Linked DNA regions of Diceros bicornis minor. The protein of the gene in region 2 interacts with the protein of the main gene of each other region in a pairwise test. Links are inferred from orthologs where the notes say so. Each region holds a gene or a part of one and is shown on either strand. Other genes may lie near its edges.

Region 1 (10,680 bases), on a different chromosome or scaffold from region 2:
ATGTATTGCCAAATTACCTTCCAAAGGTATTCTATCATTTTTAATTGTTTCCAGCAATGAATCAAAGCATGTAGCTATTATGCACATATTTGACAGCATTGGGTTTTATAATTTTAAATATTTGTTAATTGGTATTAAAATGGAACCTCATATTTTTCCTCATTTTAATTGATAGCGTGGTTGGACATTTTGTTTACATTAGTTTGTGATTTATCTTCTCCTTGATCAGATTAAATGTTGATGTACTTTTTTTTACTTTCTCACTGGAATTTTTTTGGTATTTTACATATTTGATTAGTACTTTTCTTAATATAGATAGCCATTAACTAATATATATGTTAGTTTTCCCTCTTGTTCTTTGTGTCTATGTGTTTCATAAACATTTAAAATATTTCTAGGGCTGAATTAGTTCATTTCTTTCCTTTGTGATTTTTATTTATCTTTTTTTATTATTTTGCAAGAATATCTTAAGCCTTAGTGACTCACGTATATTTTCCTTTTCTTTGTTTTAGCACTTATATAATTCTGCAGCCTTCAAAGCTCGAACAAAAGCTCGAAGCAAATGTCGAGATAAGAGAGCAGATGTTGGAGAATTCTTCTAGATTTTCAACACTTGAAAACTACTTTCTAATTTCCAATTTTTTCTTTTTTTGTAATTTCTAATGTATTTAAACTCTAGAGACAGTTTTTATCTTGGGTCAACATAGATAGCTTTTGTAGCAGGGTTTATATTACTTATAATTTAATGTACAGTGTTACAAATGGTGAGTTCTGATTATGGAATATTCTCTGTAAATATCAGTAAACATGAATAAAGTATTTGTAATGTTTGGTCATTTTCTATTTATGAAGAAAGCAAAAATAGATTTCACATGATATCCTGATGAGAAAAATTATTAGCCAAGATTAAATTTCTTGTACTGTGGTTGTCAAAAATATTGATTGTTCTGGTATAGATATACAAAGTATTTAACTTAAAATCTTAGACAAATGAGTTTTGGATACAATTTTGGGAGCTAGTTCTTCTGGAAAAGCTGCTATATTTTTAATTTCAAATGGAACCTGATAATTTTAATTTTGTCACTGTGATCAACAAAGGGAATTATACCATGAGACCTTACAGTTGCACTTAAGTGCAGACCAGCTATTGGGAATCATGATGAATTAGCGTATGGATTGCTAACCTTGACCTCTGAGGGCAGTAACACTAATTTTATCTGCTGTGTAAGACCTTGTACTCTTTTATTTTGAAATAAAAATCTTTTCACATTGAAAGTGCTTCTTTTCTAATAAAGAAACATTATTTATGGTTTTGAGGTGTACAGAGTTCAAAATGACCAAGCCAGGTAGGGAGAGAGTGAGATGAGACTTACTTTGTATGTTTGGAAACATGAAAATAGACGAAAAAATGAAGCAATATATCATTGGGATTCCAGTTACTGACTTTTAAGACTGTTGCTGCTTCGATACCCCTATGAGGTGATTTTTCACTTTATGAAATGCATTTTGACAATACATTAGGATTTTATTAATGTGTACACAAATTATGTTACACAGGCAACATTTGCAATTCAAGATTCCTAGACTTATGTCTTTGACATTAGTGCAGAAAAACAGTGAAAAGAGGGGTGAGGGTTAGGGAAGCATGTACACTGTAGAGAAGTACCAAAATCACTGGGGGTATTTGTTCCAAACTAGCATACTTCCTCTCCCGCTTCCCCAACAACAACTGGAAGGTCTGATGTGCCCCCTAGTTGAAAATCACTGGCTGGCCTATGGAGCACCCCCTGGGAGTGTGAGCTCTATCCCTCAGAGTGCACTGGAAAACCAATTGGAAATCTAGAACTTGGGTTTGCATGTTGTCATTTGTATCCAAGTAGGTTAGAATCATGGGAAAGAGATTGCAGATAGTGTTTTTTCCTAGATTTTCAATTTTGTATATGTATACATATGTTTAAATAAAAATGAATTTTTATTGAAGTGATATATACACACACACACACACACACACACACATATACTTTAATAGATACTTCAAGGCTTATAAGAAAAAAAGTTAGCTCCCTGCTCCATCGTTTCCCATTTCTCAGGCCCATCCCAGAAGGCATTTCAGCCTTTAGTTTTTTGCTAGTACTTGGGTTTCTGGTTTCTAATATGCTTCTACAACTGGTTATTATTTTTAGACATCTGCCAACTTCCTATTTGCTAGGTGAAAATTTCTGCCTTTTTACTTTTCCTTTCTGCTACTCCCAATGCATCATTTTTTGCATCGTGGTGCATTTCAATTCTCAGAACATTTTATCTTGGTTTTACGTATACCACTAATGCTTTTTAGTCCTAAATAAATATATAAAACTCTTGAATCTGTTTTCCACATGGTCAAAGCCCAGCAGAACTCTTGCTTCTTGTTTCAGTCTGCGCTAATTTCTTTCTTGTCTGAGTATACAGCTGTTTCCTGAGACTTCATCGTCCTGAGATTTGTTTTCCTTTCTTGGGTTCGATTTCACATTACCTAGACCCCATGTTTTCAATGTCAGATCATTTTCTTGTTAAAGTGGAACACTTCCTTCGTAACTTCTGGGAATGGGTGAGTGGGAGGCTGATTATTTTGAGACTTTATATGTCTGAAAGATAGTTTGGCTTGGTATATAAAGTTCCAGATAGAAAATCAAATCCGGAATTTTGAAGGCATTGTTGTATTGTCTTCCAATTGTCAAGTGTTGCAATATCTGATGTGATTTTTGTTTCTGATTTCTTTGTTTTCTTTTGCTTTTAGAATCACTTTGTCTCTAGTGCTCTAAAATTGGGTGATACTGTGCTTTGGTGGGCTCTGGCAATCTGGAAAATATTTTTAAGTTCTTGACCATGCTCCCCCCCCCCATTTTCTTTGTTCTAGAACTCAAGATACTAGAGCTGCTGGATTGATCCACTGGGCTTATTTCTTTCTTGCTCATTTCTTTTTCTTTCTGAGAGGTTTATGTAACATGGTTTTCCAATCGTCTATTGCATTTTATTTTTGGCTAACATGAAATTACCTGCCTGTGTTTAGCGCCATACTTCACTGTTGCCTCCAGTTCCTGAGCCTGCCTGAATTAAGCGGGATCAGTCACATCACTCATCAGGGATAGTCCTCCGGAGGTCTGCTAAGGCAGGTACCAAATACTCCCTCCTTTTCCTATTCAATACATTTGCTGAAATCTTGTTCACCATTGCTTTCTCCTATTTTCATTCTTGTTTTGTAATTTTTACCTATTCTGCCTTTTTACTGGGGTTTTAGGAGGAAGAAGAGATAAACATGTTAATCTGCATATTAAATTTATAGATTTTTTTTTTTTTATTCATGGAATTGATGGGTATTTGCTGGACAGATTTACTGGGGATTCAATGTGTAAGAATGCTTGAGTTTTCTTGAAATTAGTAAAATGGTGTATGATAGACCAGTTCATTCCTGGATTCTTGGTTAATTTTGCTGGTTTAAAGGAGTTTGAAATGGTCCTTGCCTAATAAGTTCTTTATTTTGAGGCTCAAGCATAAATTTTGAAGCAATGAGCATCTGTGACTCAAGCCTTTGATAGCATTTACTGAATTTCCTGGGAGTTTAATCTAGATACAGTGAGATATAATATTTGAAAGAAAAAGCAAGAAATACTTGAAAATGTCCCCAGATTAAACAGTTCAGGTGAGAATACCTATTTTCTTCTTGTGACCCAAAACTCTTCAGGTACATAATAGATAAAATGAGGTAGGTTACCTTGCTGTGCTCTTAAGTGGTTCTCATAAGTCTAACTGGTCACAAGCCATTAAAAATCTCATTCCCTTCACTGGTGTAAAATATGGTGAAACATGGAATTCAGACTACAGTGTGAGGAATTGCTTAGTCTCCATTTTCCTCATCCCTGAGGGATTGGATCACAGGGTTGTAAAGTTACAGGAGAGAGAAAAACACACAGTAAATGCTCAAAATGTGGCTATTCTATTTTTCTTCAAAGGTTAGATGGTTTAAGATAGATCAGGTAGTTGGGAGATTATTTTTTAAACTGAGCATGATAATTAATAGCTAACAAACATTTTCATTTTTCAAGAAATTTGGCATAGCTTTTTAACGTATAATCTGCGTCTGAGAAAACAGTTATTAATTATCTTGTCCTACTTCATGAATTGCTCCTCGGGTGTAGATGAAGCTTAAGAAAATGATGTTCCTTTTTCCCAAAAGTAGAGTGAGGTCTATAATGGATACTATAGATGTGAGGGAAATTTTATGGAGCAAATATTTTCTACTTGACATGCAATGTGTTTCAAGGATGAATAATGTCCATCTAGTCATGGCCATGGAAGGTAGGATTATAAGGGATTATATATCAGTTTATCACCTAACCCTTAGTGTCCTGCTGGGATAGTTCGTCCCTGGGGTCTAGGATCTGGGTTTATGGGATTGCAGGTCTCCTCCTCACTGTAGCTTCTTTTATGTACACCAGAGGGCAGAAGCTCCTTGGCATGTGTGTGAGGGAACCACATAAGAGAAAGGCTGACATTCCTGAGAAAACAAGATGCATAAAAAGTCACAGAATAAAGCCTTGGAAAAGGAAAGGACGTTGATGAGACAAAGTGCTTCCATCACCTGCAGTGGGTCTGTAGCCAGACGATCTCCCACTCACAATCTTTTTTTGTAGCTACTGGAAGCCCTAGGAGTCCTCTGACCTGCATCATCCTCATTATAATGTCACAACCTTATCCTGTCCCTCTTTATTGTAGTCCTCTGGTTGGTCTGGTAGTCCTGTGCAAGTTAGTTGTCAGAGTGGCAGCTCCATCCTGCTACCAGATATTTATATATGGAGCATACCGTGGCAGAAGTGCTGGAAGTGTGTCAGCTTACACGGTTGTGTCGGCCAAATAGGGACATTAACTTCAGCCCCATAAGAACCTCATCAGTTACCAATTTCATCAAGGAATGGTGGTTTTTTTCTTTTTAAAGCATAGTATCAGTAATATATTTACTAAAAACCTTAGACATTGTGAAGAAAGTCAGTATTTGGAATCTTACACTGCTTGGTTAAATTAACACTAAATATAGACCAACGGTTTCATGCTGGGGTTTATGGGCCTTCTAGGAGCACCCGTGTGCTGAAGGAAGGCAAAGAAGGAAATACAGAATTTGTAGAAAATTTTGTTGTAGTTGCTTCCGAATAATTAGTTGTTTTTGTTTTTCTGGTAACCTAGCAGTGAAAGCTCACATTTTTGTAAGTAATTTGCATGCTATTCCTCTACTGAGACTGAATTACGATTCTTGAGGCTGATATGTTTTTTGTTGCGTGTGTTCTGTGCTTTTAACTTTTGATAGAAATGATTTAGAGTTGATTTTAAAAATTACTTCCTGAATCTGAAGAGGCACTGACTCTGAAATAAGATTAAAGAACAAATTACCACGACTCACTCAATAAAGTTTCCTATTAGCTTTGAATTAAGCCCTATTATAACAATTCTGATTTTGTGGCAAGCAATACTCGTGTGAGTTGTTTCTGTGGTTTGATACTGAGCACCTACGAGAAAAAATAAAGAGCGAAGCAATTTTTCATAGGCAACTATATTTGTCAGAATATTTATTTGTAGGTAGTCAAAGAATTCTTACAAGACAAAAAGAATCAGCGGTTAGCATTGATCTAAACGGGAGGAAAATGAAATTACTTACATGTTTCAGCACAAGGTATTAGAAAGGGTTCCATTAAAAGAATGCTGCATTGGTCAATCTTACTTAATGAGCAAATTTGCACACCAGAGTCGGGAAGGAGGGTCGAGTTAGAGCAATGCAGAATTTAGTAACACTGGCTTTTCCAGCCCCGTTGGTTGTTCCCAGATGCCCTCATATGGAGATACCAAAGATAGCAACAACTGGGTGTCAAACAGCTGTGGGTCCTGGTTTTAGGGCCATGTGATCTTGTATCCATTTACTTGCAGAGTCATTTGCAAGCTCTTGGTGGCCATGAACCACACCTAACTCAGTTTTCTCTACTAGTTCTTTTTTTTACCATTTGCATGTTGCACATAATTTTAAAACACATTGAAATAGCATCTATTTACGTTGTGACTTTACCCTAAAGAAGAAATTTTTTTTCAGAGCACTTCATAGTTCACTCTAAGTTGTTGTCTTAGTGCTTTTGGATTTGATGTTGCATTGAGTCACCTTTTGAGTTGGTAGCAAGGCCAATAATTTGGAGATTTTATTAGCTGCACTGCTCTTAAGTCAGTTTTTGTGGCTATGATTTTCTAGCTAGTCCTCCACTTTGTAAACGTTCTTTAAGCCTCAGTATGAGATTTAAGCAATAGTAATTACATTCCTAAAGGGGAAGCTAAGGCTCAAAGATATTAAGTCAGAGATCTAAAAATGAACCATGCATCAGTCACCCAGACTAAAATAGAAGCTGTGTTTGGAACGAGGATCCTACGATGTGACACATACAACCTTTATTCCTCATCAAATATTAGTATTTGGGATAATAAAGTATAAAAAATGATAAAATATAAAAAATTTCGAGAAAAATAGTTTAGGAATCTGTGACCATGCATTAGTCAACACTTTTGGTTTTATCTATACAATGATGAGATTTGATTGATCTCTAAGGCCTCTCTACTCCATGGGCTGTTACTTTTTTTTTTTTTTTGCCACTTAAAGTCGTTCACTTATGAATGCTCCATGAAGTAAATTTGGAGTTCAATAACATCAATATATAAAGTGCTTCAGTAGTACCTTACCTAAAATACTGATGGAATTATGTGTTCTTGTTCATTAAAATTTCAGGATAACTGAAACACCATTTTTAGTTTTTAATCTTGATTGAAAAAAAATTTAATTAGTCCATGACTTTTTGAGCTCACTGTTTTTCTTAGCTAGGGTTCTGGGAGCACATTTTTTACAAGTACTAATAGGTTTTAGGTATTACTGGGAAATTGCTGGCTTTTAATATTTTAGAGTGCAGTTTAAGTTATTTAGTAAATGGCTGATGCTTTTTTTCAGATCTTTTATAGGTGTTCATATCCTTTTTTTCTGAATTTGATTTCTCCTAACTCTAATTATATTTCTCTTTATTCTGTGGCTGGATATTAGAGGAAATTTTTAAAATGTTAACAGGAAGTAAACACTGTGTTGCCACATATAGGCAGGCATGAAGTTTATTGCCTTGACTTTACTAAAAGTCTGGAAAGATGTCACGTGAGGACTTTTACCCTCAGTTTTATTTCTGTTAGTGTCCTTATTATTAACTGCCTCAAATTCTTTTGAAAATAGTGAGATTTAAACCCCAAATAAAATATTTTAAGTGCTCCAACTTAACATAAGTCACTGGCTTCTAAAGTTGGCCCTGGGCATTTGAAGAATAGGATTGGTGCTGACCCTAAGGAGTTTTCAGTTAATTGGGGAAGTCAAAGATGTAAGCAAATAAATGAGATAAAATATTATAGGTGTTCTGATAGAAGAATGGCACAACCAGCAAGGGCACAAAGGAAAGACAGGTTGATTCTTAGAGGAGGTGAGGTTTGAGCTGAGTCCTGAGAGAGGATTAGGGAGGGATGTAGAGAAGGAGTGTAGTAGCACAAGGGAAGGTGCAGTGAACTCTGAAGCAAGAGGCCACTTCCAGCTCTGCAGCTAGGGAAATGTCTTTACCCTCTGAGCTTCCATTTCCTCATTTGTGGAAAGGATGGGGGCTAAAGGAGAGCACGTCTAAAATCCTTTGCAGATCAAAAAAATCCTATATCACTATTAGACTCATTTTATGAAAAGAGATAATGATAAAAGAGAAAGCTTTTATAGTCATTGTATTTTGTCTTCCTAGAGCCTTCTTTTCGTGCAATTAAAAGGCCACAGATTCTCGGTTGTGCTCTGGAGAGATCTTAAAATAGCAGGCTTTTCAGTGTTGCTTGAAGTTGTGCTGTCATTAGAATATTACCTTAAATGTAAACCTCAATTTTAAAATTACTTATTACGTAAGTGACCTCAATCTGAGGAAACTCAGGGGAAGAGACCTCAGAAGTCCTGGCCTGTAGCCTCTGACTGCTGCAGGATTCCTCTTTACAACATCTAAGCTTGCTAAGATTTGGTCTTGAAGATTCACAGCCAGCATCTAATGGTTAAAGGATACATTTTAAGGTGGAGCCTCACATACCATATTGAGGGAGAATATAAAAATTACAGCTTTGTATTAAAGCCTCATGCAATTAGAATGGGTCACAGTAATGTTCCCTTCTCTCAGAATCTCTATGGCCACAGGCCAACTAGCTTAATTTTATCTTTCTATATGTTTATATATAGTCTCCTTGCACAAGGGATTTGAGGCGTTGCCCCAGAATATGAACAATGTAGTAAGAGAGAAAAATTTTTAAATCAATTACGAAATGAAAAGCAGGCCCAGAGAAAATGTAGACAGAATTGAGAAATCTGAAGAGGAGGTAAGAGCATAAGCAGATAAGTAGTGTATAAAGCACGGTACAGTTCTTAACATTGGGCCACACGCTGGACTCTGAGCTTCCTGGCAAGCAAAGCAAAAAGAATAGTTACAAAGTTATCCCCAGAAGGAAATATTTTCTTCCGGACAAGCAAAGCTTTTCTAGACCTTCAGTTGGAAATAGTATTTGTGGGTGGTTCTTTCCATGCCTGTCCAGTCTCCTGCAGGCTGTGATTCTTGCGGAGCTGAGTTCCCCAGACCAGCCTCTTACTTAACGTCAGTGTTTCCTTTCAGGGACAATGAATCATTCTTCCCAGGACACTGGCTCTCGCGGCATTTATGAAGATAGAAAGCTTTATGTTGTGGATTCCATAAACGACCTAAACAAACTAAACCTCTATCCTGCCGGCTCGCAGCATCTGTTCCGTATGTGTGCCCTCCAAGGCTTGGTGGCCTTTCCTGGCTTCTAGGCCACCTAAAAATAGCAAATGCTAATCTGGACCTGGGGGCGTGGGGGGGGGGGTGCGGGGTGGGCACTAGGAACAGCCTGGCAATGAAAATGCTATTTATTATTAGGCAATTTTTGCTTTTGTTCCTTGAATACTTGATGACTTATGGGATCTCTTGGCTCCAAAGCAAGAATTGAACGCTTGTCTTCAAAAGTTCTGAGAATTCCCTGTGGAGTTTCTCTCCCTGGAAAGGGGAGGAGGCTGCAGAGCTGGTCTCCCAGAGGCTTGCTTATCTCTCTCCGCTGCTGTCGTGCCTTCTAGTGACCACAGCCAGGTCACGGATGGTGCCTGCTTTCCTAGAGGGATCTTACTTCATTGTGGATTGCTGAGAAAATGCTCCAAACATTCCTCCAGTTTTAAAAAATATCATTAAAATTTTGTTGGACAAAAAGTCAACTTCATTTTCTACTTACAAATTATGAATTGTCCCAATTAAAGGCCTAGAAAAGGGTGAATGAAGCAATAAAAATCTGCTAAGTACTAAATGTGTATCTTGTCCCCTAAATATTGTAAAGGAGTTCTATTAGAGCATTCTGAGCCCCATTTTTCTAGCTTAAACGCTGACATTCAAACACAGGTGTTAATTGTCCACTTGCCATTTGTTTCATATGCATTCTAAACTCTTATTGTCCCAATTTTATATCTATTATTCCCCTTCTAAATTCTTTCTGAGTTCCTGCTTTTTCTTCATCAGAATGTGTTCAGATTTCCACCTGTTTTTATTGCAGTCAGTCTCAATAAAAGTAGATGTTTGGGTGCCAGCAGATGCTGTTGCTTTGACTAGGAAGCAAAAGCCGTTGAGAGGTTGACACAGGATGTACTTAAAAGCACGGGACATGAGCCACTCATCTATCTGTAATCAAGTAGCAGTGTGTGGAACTGAGGCGAAGTAGGAGAGAATATAGAAAGCAACCAAGGGTCTCCATTCCCCAAGTTTCTGTATGTCTTATTCAATTCAATTTGGGTGTTATTAGGCAAATAGGCCTTACAAAATGATAACCCAATGAAGACAATTTATGGTGAAGTGGGTAAACAAAGCTGTTTTATAAGTGTGGCTGCATTCTCAGTTCAACAGCAAGACATTTAAAAGAACCTTGCTTCCAGAACATGTCCATGCTGAAAACAGCTTTAAGAAACACATCAGGGCCATTTTTTGTTTAAATGGGTGTAGGCATAACTGATTATTCCTACGGTAAAGGACTTTCCTGGGAGATATCCCAGAGCGTTCAGCTTTCCATGCAGGGGAGGTGTCCCACGGCCAGCTGTGCTTTACTCCTGGGTCACTTTGGGAAAAGGGCAATAAATCCTCCATCACTCTTAACCCCCAACTTCTTTACCCAATCCCCCTCCCCCACCCCCCAAACAGGGGTAAGGAGATAGCTTGACTCTGCTTGTTCTTTGAATACCGGTGTAGAAGAAGGTAAAAAATTCACAAAGAGTATCCCGCCCAGAGGTTCCTAAAACATGTCACTTTCTAGAGTGATTGGAGAGAAAATGGTCGTATCCCTTACTCAAATCTCTACTAATGGGGGACTGCTCAGTTCTGCTGGTGAGCTGTATGCTGATGAGTTTTTGTCGTTGTTTGCTTCCTATTAGCTCTAGAGGAGAAAATCCCAGACGTTGGCACTAACTCAGGAAATGGAAGCCACAGTCTGTTTTTTGTGGGGCTGATAATCGTGCTGATCATTAGCCTGGCACTGGTTTCCTTCGTGATATTTCTAATAGGTAAGTACCACGGA
Region 2 (11,108 bases):
ATTGATTTATGGGCTGACTTTTAAAGATTATTAGAGATAATTAAACTGAATGCTCAGCCTTTTGTGGCCCTGGCTCCTAGGTGTTTCTGCCTGCCCTCCCTCCCCATCCACTACCCCATGCTTAGGTCCAGCTAGATCTCACCCATCTCCATCTCACCTTTGCCCTCTAAGACATTGTCTCCCCAGGTAGCTCTCCTCCCCCTACTCAGAGCCCAGCCTGTCTTTTGACAGCTGATGCTGGACCCTCACTGGGAGGCCTGGCAGAGTTTGGTTGACTGGGGTGGGGGCAGCTATTTCTAGACTTCTGAACCTGCTATCTGGGGGAGGCTAGAGGGTGCTGACAGGCCACAGGAGGAGCCAGGAGGCTGGTGTTACTTCCTCTGACCTTGGGCCACCCAGAGCAGGGCCTTGGCACCAGAAGGCTTGGCTGGGCCTGGCCTGAAGAAGTCAGAAGAGGTGGGCAGGCAGCTGTGGGGTCAGATCAGTCTCTTGTACAAAAACCTCACCAAGGAAGTAGTGTGGAGCAGCAGTGGGAGAGGAGAAACCTGCGAATGGCCACTTTATTCCCCCCTACACAAACCCCCAGTCCCCAGGTCCAAGTGGCATCTCAACTGGCTGCTCGGGCCTCGCTGGAGTTGAGCCTCCGCAGCTGGCTGAGGCTGGCAAGCCGGAGTTTGAGGAGCATCTCCTCCTGTGTGTGCAGTGTGTGCGCCAGCATGTGTAGGGATTCGCTCTGCAGCACTGTGGACAGGCAGGTAGGAATGGGGATTATCAGACCACGTGCCACCACTCAACTCCCCCACCCACCCAGCCCAGCACCAGAGGGTGCCCTCAAACCCTCCACCCCACCCTTCACTGCCTCAGTCTCTGCAGTTGTTCCCTCCAACAGTGCAGAAAGGCCTCCTGGTCCCACTTCCTTGCACTCGGTTTCCACTGGCTTCCTGCACTGGCCTTACCACTCAGGTAGACAGCCAGGACAGCAAGCGCCAGGCAGGTGAGCACTAGCAGCACAAGCAGCAGCAGGAAACCCCCGCGGCAACGCACAGGGCTGCAGCTGGCCTGAGTGCACAGCGATGGCGGCAAGATGCTTAGCAGCTCATCCCATGGCTGCGCCTCCTCGGCCAGGTAGGGTCGCAGCAAACCTGTGGGGCAAATGGGGCATCAGGAGGGCGGCAGGTGCGCCTGCTTTCCTCCCCATTCAGTGCATCCACCCCACTCCCCTGCCCCCGCCCTCACCTCCACTGTGTAGGTCGCTGATGGACTCCACACGGTGCAAGCACACCTCCTGCACATGGTTGGGGGCCAGCGGTGCCCTGCTCCTTGAGCTCAGCGTTGGTGCCATGGTGTCTGCACGGGCAGTGTGGGGCTGATTCAGCCAGCGGGTCACCCTCTCCCTTCTAGGTGGCTTCCAGTGGCAGCAGGGGCTCAGAGAAGATGGGGACAGGACAAAGGGGCATTTGGCTCCTAATCCCCTAAAACTAACTCAGGAATGATCCTTGATTTGGAGCCAGGACAATCCCAGAACCCCATAGGCCTGTTCCACCCGCAACAGCAGGAAGTGCACTTGACTTGCTCACGTTGTTTCCTTCCATGCACCTCAAGCACTATCAGGCGTTTCTCTGCCTGCTCACTTCTGGAGAAGAGTTTATCAGCCTTGGAGGACTAAACCTACAGTGCATGAAATTCATTCCTGCCTCTTCCGCTCTCAGTTTTCCCTGCAGACCCTGAGTTAGCCATCAGGCCAGACACGGTGCCTGGTGCCTTCTCCTGTCCCCAGCAGCAGCGCCCCCTTCTAGCTGGCTGGTGCCTTTTCCTCCTGGCCTATGGCTCTGCTTCAACATACTCAGCTTAATCCTGCTGTACTTCTGTGACCCCTGCTGTTTACACTACAGCACAACAGGAGACCTGCCTTTGTTATCAAACTGTTTCACTGCCTCTGAGGTCTCCCTTCGGGCATCCCTTTGAGGCTGCCTGGGCATTTAGGTTGTTTCCAGTTCCCTTCCGAAATTAATAACCCCTAGAAAAGGAGATGCATCATTGAGTATGAAGGTTTTTTCCAATTTCCCAATAGTTATTAAGGACAGATTCCCAGAAGCAGAAGTACTGGATGAAAGAGCAGGGACTTTTTTTTAACGCTATCATTGAGGTGCCAGCCTGGTGGCGTAGCGGTTAAGTGTGTGCGCTCCGCTTCTGCGGCCCGGGGTTTGCAGGTTCAGATCCTGGGCATGCACCGATGCACCGCTTGTCAAGCCATGCTGTGGCGGCGTCCCACATAAAGTAGAGGAAGATGGGCACGGATATTAGCCCAGGGCCAATCTTCCTCAGCAAAAAGAGGAGGATTGGCATCGTATGTTAGCTCAGGGCTAATCTTCCTCACAAAAAAATAAATAAAAAGCTATCATCGAATCATCCTCCAGAATGGCTGTCCACAGCCCCCAAAAGGGTACAACATTGCCACCACTAGGCATCTCCATTGAAAAAAAAATTGATACACATATGTGCACACACAGGTATGTGCTAAGTTGGGAGATGAGAAAAGGCCTTTCTTGACCAATTTGGTTGGATTTCTTTGCCTGGGGCGGTGGGGGGGTGGCGCTGACCAATATGTGTGTAGCCTCCTAATTATCCATTCACAGCCTCTGCCTATTTAGTCACTGGGGTCTACTTTTCTTGTGATTTTAATTATTTTTGGACCCATCAAAGTGTTTATTTTGTCTCAAGATTATATTTTCTTCTGGTTGTTCTTTGACTTGATTTTTTAAAAAATCTTGGCCCCTGAAGCCCTCCAGATGCCCAGTTGGAAGCTAGATAATAAAGTGGGGGCATAGAAGGGCCACCTCCTGATAGAAGCAGGACGATTGGACTCTCTGGGTCTGTCAGTTTCAGAGCAGTAACACAACCTTCCTGATTTGCTTGAAACTGGCCCTTGACATGCTCAAAAGTAAGTACAACAAAAACATGCTGCCAGGCATTCGTCAGGGTGGTGTTGGGGATCATATTAAATTCCCTCTTTGCACTTGGCTGTGCTTTTCCCACACTTTCTAAATTGAAAGTGGAAATCAGATTCTATTTGTTACCAGGGAAAACACACAGTAAATGTCATTGTTACGACCCCATGAGGAGGCAAACATCCCCCCCACCGGGGCCAGGCACCTCCCACCCAGTGTAAAATGTTGAAAATATGATGGGGGGGCGGGCGGCCTGGTGGCACAGCGGTTAAGTTTGCGTGTTCCACTTGGGCGGCCTGGAGTTCACCAGGTCGGATCCTGGACATGGACCTACTCACCACTGATCAAGCCATGCCGAAGGCATCCCACACAGTACTAGAAGGACATACAACTATGTACTGGGGGCTTTGGGGAGAAAAAACAAAAGAAGAAAATGTCATGGGGGAGTTAACCAGCTGGGCCAAGCTGGAGCCCTGGAGCAACTGGTCCTGCATCCTGGCCAGTACCGAACCTGAAGCTTCCTGGGTCCCCTGCTCTGGCCCCTCTGAGGCGCTGTACTTCTTGCATGTGGCGAGGAGTTAGGTGGGCAGCCACCCAACTCTTAACTAGCAGTCAATCTGGCCAGGCCAGGGGACCCCAACTTTTAGCCAGTTGGGGGAACCTAGTCCCAGGTTGGAGGAGGCCAGAAGCCTATCCATTCCCAGTCCCTGAGCCATGTGGCCAAATGCTTCCTGGAACCATTGCCAACCCCCAATCCCAGCTTCCTCCCTGAAGGAAGAGCGGAACTGGCCAGGCATCTGCCTGGCCCACACCCACTTGGGCACAGCCTATAGTTGACCCTCCCCGAACTGGGTAGCTCCCCGCAGTCACTCCCTGCTGTCCCTAGCAGGGGAAACAGGCAAGGCCTGAGGTGAGGAGGGGTTCCAGGCATGGTAGGCCCTACCTCTGTGCACAGGGGGCAGGTCACTTTACTTGAGCTGGGACATGGTGACTGATGACTAGTCAAGGAAGTGAGGTCGGTGGAACAGGGGGCAGGTTTCTTCATGGTCCACAGGGTCACAGGCCCAGGGCCCGGCCCTTCCTCACAGTCATCTCCTACCTTCTCTGGTCTCGTCAGGCATAGCGGGTGGTGGGCAGTCGGGGCTGATGATAGCGTCCAGTAGCAGAACAGGGTGGAGGCAGCAGTGACTCTTCTGAGAGCCTGGGGAAGGCCTGGCCACCTCCTAGCCTGGGCCTAAAATAGGCCTGAGCTCCGCCCACTGGGCTATATTTAGAGGAGACAGCGCTCAGCCACGGGAAGGGGAGGAGTGACCCACATGGGCCAGCCTGGACTATACCTAGTGATGCAGCCCAGGCGAGAGCGCAAATGGCACCTTCACTAGTGCATGTGCACAGGGGCTTTCCCAGGGAACCCTGCCACCCCCACATATGCACAGGCCTCATCTTCATCCAGACAAGCTGCCTCAGGCTCACCTCCAGCATTGCCCCACAAGGCAGCCTTGCCTGCAGCCCTGTGCATCTCCACCCCTCCACTCCCAAAGACACCACCCATAGCTGGGTCATCTCTTCCAAGCAAATGTGGGACATGCACCCACCACTGTGTGACCTGCTGGCTTCAGGGATTGGGGGTGATGGACAAGTGGAGCCCAGTGCCATGAGGGCTCTGGGAGCTGCAAAAAGGGGCAGAGACACCCCCATACACACAGGCATCCATGCTGGTCAGTGGGCAGACCCAGGTTGAAGGCTGGTGCTCACAATACTAAGCTTACAACCCTGAGTAAAAGATTGCCCCCTCTCTGACCTGTTTTCTCATCTGTAAAACAGGACTAACAGTGGTTCCTCCCCAGCACAGTACATGTGAGAATAGAAATACAACCACGTCTGAAGCATTTAGCACAATGCAGTTTTGATCCTTCTCCCTCCACAAGGGCATACAGCTCACACGAAGCCTTGTGAGGATGCATGGCACCACTTACCCTTGAAGGGAGGAAGTGGTCCAGCTTAGGGCCCACCCTCTGCCATTGGACCCCTGTGTCCCCTCCTTCCCAAATGGGACAAAGCAAGACAGTGGGCTCTACCTCCTAAAACATCCCAAATCCATCACTCCACTGTATCACACTGGCCTCTTTGATAATTCCTCAAACACAGCAAGCTTGTTCCCACCTCAGGCCCTTTGCTACTGGCTGTTCCCTCCTGGAATGCCCTGTTCCCAGATATTCCCATGGCTGGCTCCTTGCCATTTAGCTCAAATGTCACCCCCTCAGTGAGGCCTTCTGCTCACATTCTTTTCCACATCACCCAATTTTATTTTCTTCATAGCACTTAGCCCAGAAACTATATTATTCAGAATATACTGGACATGTCAGTATCCCCAAAGGCCCTACAGAATCCACTCCGTCACATGGAAACCACCTTTAATCCTCACCGCAGCATCCTTAGACAGAAAAAACTGAGGTCCTGAGACAGCTAGGAAGGTGCCCAAGGCCACACAGCAAGACCTAGGACCAGCGGTTGTCTGCTGGGGCCATTCCAGCTTCAGCTGATAGTGTGTTTATTGCATTAGTACAGTCGGCCTGCCCCACCCCCACCCCCAACAGCCCAGGCTGTTCACAGCTTTCTGCTCACTGCCCAAGGAGGAGGTCCTTCCCCCAGGGTGAGCACTCGGGTCACCTCCCCCGCCCAGATCGTGGCTCTGGAGCCTTGCTTCTCTGCCTTCTCCCAGCCAGCCACCAGCCGGACCCTGTGCCTGGCCTGGGCCACCCTCCAGGGGCTACATTCAAGGGTTATCCTCTGTTAATAAATAAGCCAGCGCGGCTGCCCCTCGGCCAGGGCCTGTCAGTCGGTGTCCATCGGCCGGGGACGGCAGTGTGTCCGGCACCCAGCTGTCCGTCTCCCAGGGTCTGTCCGCCCCCTCTCTCCCGCCTGTCGTCGCCTCCCCAGTCCCCGGCGTGGGGATGGCCGAGTCACTAGTGCGCTGCGCTGCGCGGCCCCCCGCTCAGACCGGGGCTCTGGGGCATGTGTCCGCCGGTTGCGGCCCTTCCTCCGCAACTCCGGAGAAGGTGGGCGCGGCGCGGGCTGCGGACGACACATTCGCAGGGAGCTCGCGCCACCGCCGCCTGGCTCCACCAGCTGCAGGAAGTCCCGGTACCAGAGCTTGGGGCCCGGCGGCGCGACGGGCGCAGCCTCCTCCGTCCGGGCAAGCCTTTCGGCCTGCGCAGCACTCAGCACGTGCAGGGCGAGGCGACGCAGCGGCTGCGAGAAGCCCTGCTCCACTGCTGCGCACAGGTACACGCCCGCATCCCCGCGCCGCAGCCCACGCAGCAGCAGCCCTCGCGGAGTGCGCTCCGCATGCTCTTCCGCCGGCACCTGTGGGCCGGGCCAGCGTGAGGGCGGGGCGTCAGGGTCCGGCCCAGGGCTCCCTGGCACCAGTGTCCCAGCGTTGGATGGGAGAAGCAACGGATCAACGGCGGCCCAGAGGGAACGGGAAAGGGGCGCTCACAGGTGCATATTTGAAGGTTGGGTGCATGGGGGCCGGTGGTCTTCAAGTGGAAACCTGAACAAGGTGAGGTTCACCTGACTGTGGGGGGCGGGTCGGGGACCTCAACAGGCGTGGCGAGGAAGGAGGGGTCTTCTCTCGGATGTGTGTGTGCGTGAGGAGGATCAGGAGCCTAGTTAGACGGAATGGGGCCTCACCAGGGTGTGGAGTGCAGGTAAGGGACCAAACTGGACCAACGGGGTCTGGTTGGGCGGAGCCTCGCTGGGCGGAGCTGGACCTCATCTAGATGTGGGGAGCAGGCCAAGGCCCTCATTAGTCAGAGTTAGGCCTCTCCTAGATGTAGGCGGTGGGACAAGGGCCTGGGTTGGGACAGGGATCAGGTGGAGGCTCACCTGGGTGCTGGCTGCCTCCCTTGAGCGCTGGAAGGTCCACTCCACACGCGCCTGCAGTGAGCGGGGCTCACACTCCAGGAAGGCGCTGCCGCCCTCCACACCAAACACCTTCCGCTCCAGCAGCGTGGGATGGGACGAGTCTGAGGGGAAGGGGAATGTCAGATTCAGGCAAGGCAGGGCAGGGTGGGGCGTCTTTAAGGGCTGAGAGGTGGGGGCAGCTGAGGCACTTACCCCCAGAGCACAGCGTGCTGGGGTCCCCATTCCTTACGTCTTGCCGCCGGAACCGCCTGGGGAGAACATTGGAGCCTCCGTGAGCCCCTCTTTTAGCCAGCAGCGAAAGACTCCCTCCCGGTGGCCCGCCCCCGACTCTGCTCACCTCTTGCTACTGGGCTGAAAGCGCGTGCACGCAGCCCCATCCCAGGCGCAGTAGGGGTCACGCGCCAGGCAGCATTCGGCACAGGCACGGCCGTGGGCAGCACAGCGGTACAACGGGATCTGGGCCACTGCGCTCGGCGAGGCTACGTACAGCTGGTGCTAGGGGGCACGAGGGGCTCCGGGCTGACCGAGAGCCGCCCCCTGCCCATCTCCCATTGATCAGGAATCCCGTCCCCCACTTGACAGATGGGAACACTGAAGTCTCAGGTCACAGTCTAGCCAAGGCAAAGCCTACTACTCAAACCCAGGGCTTTGAACTACCAAGGGAGGCATGGGGGTGAGGGCACCCGGGAACGTGCTCGGTCCATTCCATCCCCAAACATTCTGGTCACTTACCCTCTTGGAGGAGATTTGCATGCTGGTGACAGCGGCTGAGTCCTGAGAGGGAGGAGGGGCGCTGGGATGAAGGCTCAGTGGGGTGAGGGTACCCCAAAGGACGGGGACTAGGTCTCACCTCAAACACATGCAGCTCCTCCAGGAGCAGACCCTCGGCGTTAGGCCAGCTGCCCTTGGGGACCGAGATCACCTTCAGCACTGTGCCGGCATCTGCAGGGGTGAGAAGAGGTAAGTGACTCGTTGTATGCTCTGACAGCTAGGGCCAGGGGTCTCCTCACTTTTGAGGCCTCCACCCTCAGCGTGGTTGGGTCAGTGAAGAATGTGCATTGGAACAATCAGAGCAGCATCCAGAAGGAGATGGGGGCACAGCCCAGGCAAAGATGTGAGATGAGACTGAACAGGGGGAGCTTTCACTAAACAGGCCAAAGAGCCTGGACTGGGTCTTGTGGGTGGTCATGGCAGGGCCCTGACCTGTGCCAATGAAGAGGACGTCATAGTGTCCATCAGCAGCAGCTACACGGTCCACAGCGATCTGGGTGAAGTTATACCCGGCACCCACTTGTAGGAAGAGAGGGCGTCCCCCCATGGGCAGGACTGAATTGTACATGAGGGGGTGGTTCCGGGCAAACTGGATGACGTCATCAGGAAAGTCCTTGGTGGAACTGAAGGTGCCAAAGGTCTTGCTGGGGCACTGGGGGTGGAGAGGAGGCACTACAGGGATGTGCGCATGAGGGCCTGGTGGGCAGCCCTCCACAAGAGACCACCCAGAACCTGGACTGGGGGGTGGAGTAGGGGAGGGTATTAGATAGAGCCCTGCCCTGGGAATCTGACAGGCGAGACCCAACTTTGCCCTTGGGAGTCTGAGGGGGAAAATATGGCCTTCCCCTGAGGAGCCCTGTCTGAGGAAGGTGACACTTTTCCACCCCATAACAAAAGGAAGAAACCACATTCACCAAGAAGACCCAGGCTAAGTTCTCCACCCCTGAGGCTTTAAGTGGGTTGTGGTGGGAGTCCCCAGGCTACGCACCATGCCAGGCCGGGGGTAGGGCACGCGGCCCTGGTAGGACACCCATTGGTGCATGGGCCCCTCCTTGTGTGCAAAGGGTCCCAGGAAGGCCCGGCGCACGTCGTTCATGCTGTACACACACACTGCGGAGCCCTGGAAGATGCCGCTGCAGGCGAAGACATGAGCGGGGTGAGGGGCTCAGTGGAGCCCAGCAGACCCTGCCCCACTACCTCCTGCTCCTCACCTAGATGTGGAGAAGACAGCATAGAGCAGTGGGGTCCAGCGGTCCCGTGAAGAAAGCAGGAACACGTCCTCTGCAGGGACAGGGTCTAGATGGGGGAGGGCGCACAGCCCTGCAAGCCGGCCAGGCTCCAGGATCTGTGCCCCTGCACTCTCTCCCCCCACCCCATCCTCCACTCCTGGCACTCACGGAGCCGGTCGAAGTGCGTGTCACCCTCAACGCCAGGCACCGAGCATACCAGCCGTGCCTTCAGGAACGTTGTCCACTTGTTGACCAGGCTGCGCTGGCCACCCACGTCGTTCTGTGGGGTCAATCAGAGGGGATGAGGGCGAGGCCCAGACGGGCAAAGGGGCGGGGGCGGGGTCACCAGAACTGGCTCAGGGACTCCTCACCCTGCAGATCTGGCCAACACGGGAAATGGACAGGCGTCCCAGTGCCGGCGTGGCCTCCACTGCCAACTCACGGAAGAAGAAGTAGATCTTGTCATCATCCGGGTTCTCACTCTCCGGGATCCAAAATACCTTGACAAACTTGGGCTCTGGCCGCAGCAGGAGGTGTGGGGTCAGTGAGGTCCTGGCCCGCCCCCTACTCCAAGAACCACAAGCTGCCACCCCTTGAGCTGCCTCCCCTTCTTCTTGTGCCTACAGAAGCCCCCGGGGCAGCATCTGATCACCCAGCCTCCAGGACCAAGTTCAGATGGTGCTCAGCAGGGGAAGAAACCAAAGGATCAGAGCCTGCGAGTCAAGAAGCAGCCACGAGAGGGCAGCAGAGACAGTGGCTACTTGGGCATGCAGGAGGGGGACCCTCACCAGTGGCAGGCCTCTCACCCATGACAGTTCTCCAGGCCAGTGAGCCAAGAAAGGAGGGAGATGGGGTATGGGTTATACCTTCACTCATGAGTCTTCCTCTCTAGCAGGAAGCAGATGCCCTCATTCATTCCTGCTTCAAATACTCTGCTGGGTCCCATCACACTTAGAATAAACTACCCTGGACCTTGACAGTCCAAGGCCCTTATCATTGCTCCCTTCATTAAACTGTTTTTGGCTTGGCTTGCTGCTGCCCCAGGGCCTTTGCACTAGTTGTTCCCTCTGCCTACAACGCTCTTCCCTCAATCCTGCTGTGCTTTGGGAATTAGCTCACACCTCTCCTCAGCAGGGTGGCTTCCTTTCCCCAACCCTCCCACCACCACCACCACCTAGTCTCTTTTTCCCTTCCTCTCTACTCCCTCATTGGTCTAACGGCCATTGGAATTGATCTTGTCATGTATTTGTTCTGAGGTCTGTGAACTCAAAGAGGGCATGGGCCATACCTGCCTTGTGTGCCCTGCGTCCCCAGTGCCTAGTTCAGGACCTGAGGCATGGTAGGTACTTGGTGAGACCTGGCTGTGTCCATTGCTCACTTTTTTTTTTTTTTTGAGGAAGATTGGCCCTGAGCTAACATCTGCTGCCAATCTTCCTCTTGTTTTTTCTCCCCAAAGCCCCAATACATAGTTGTATATCCTAGTTGTGGGTCCTTCTAGTTCTTTTATGTGTGATGCTGCCTCAGCATGGCTTGATGAGCAGTGAGTAGGTCCGTGGCCAGGATCAGAACTGGCAAACCCCAGGCCGCTGAAGCGGAACACATGAACTTAACCGATGTGCCACCTCGCTGGCCCCCATTGCTCACTTCTTTATGGGCCTTGCTCAGCTCCTGCCCTGTTGGGGATGAGGGCCCCCTCCCAACAGCCCCACCAGCCTTTTACCGTTGAGCCAGCGGGAGTCGTGTGGCTCTGTTCGGAGACTCGGACGCTGACCTAGGCTGCGGAAGATGGTAAAGTCCCGGCCCATGAGGTCTGCGGCCACCCCCGAGTACAGCTCTTCCCCTGCAGGGCAAGGGCTACTTAGCCAAGCTGAAGGCTCTCGGTGGGGGGGCCTGTGGAACCCTGGAGGATCTTGGGGAGTCAATGTGGCTAAGGGGGATCCCTGGGGCTCTAGGGAGGGTCTTGGGACTTTGTGAGGTTCTAGAGTCTCTGAGGGGTTCCAGGAGCTCTGTTGGGGTCCCAGCCTTTGGACTCACCCACCAGCACGGAGGCAGCCCGATGCCTGGGGTCATAAGGACTCTTGCCCTTGCCATCCTCTAGCCTTCGAAGGTCCAGCTGGAGCACGGGCTCCTGGGAGGCAGGGGGGAGTTGTTACAGCCAGGCTCTTCCTTACTTTCCCATCCCCCCTCTCTGCCGAGACCTGGCCTTACCTCCAGCCGGTGACCCACCTCCACA

What was found.
Region 1: the proteins of LSMEM2 (region 2) and LSMEM1 interact in binary tests that used the Homo sapiens proteins (3 or more experiments, as listed by UniProt). The two-hybrid records come from large-scale screens. The link is inferred for Diceros bicornis minor from reciprocal best matches to the Homo sapiens genes LSMEM2 and LSMEM1.

What each region holds. Positions count from the first base shown.
Region 1 is NC_080742.1:64,075,591-64,086,270, forward strand, and holds the start of LSMEM1 (leucine-rich single-pass membrane protein 1), read left to right. Parts: upstream 1-6,140; 5' UTR 6,141-8,731; coding exon 8,732-8,858; intron 8,859-10,537; coding exon 10,538-10,666; intron 10,667-10,680. Other genes in the region: IFRD1 (interferon-related developmental regulator 1), read left to right, coding at 513-602.
Region 2 is NC_080741.1:51,315,278-51,326,385, reverse strand, and holds LSMEM2 (leucine-rich single-pass membrane protein 2), read right to left. Parts: upstream 5,257-11,108; 5' UTR 1,343-5,256; coding exon 1,237-1,342; intron 1,143-1,236; coding exon 957-1,142; intron 742-956; coding exon 608-741; 3' UTR 136-607; downstream 1-135. Other genes in the region: SEMA3B (semaphorin-3B), read right to left, coding at 5,784-6,314, 6,837-6,976, 7,068-7,123, 7,213-7,370, 7,608-7,649, 7,726-7,817, 8,079-8,298, 8,635-8,779 and 6 more.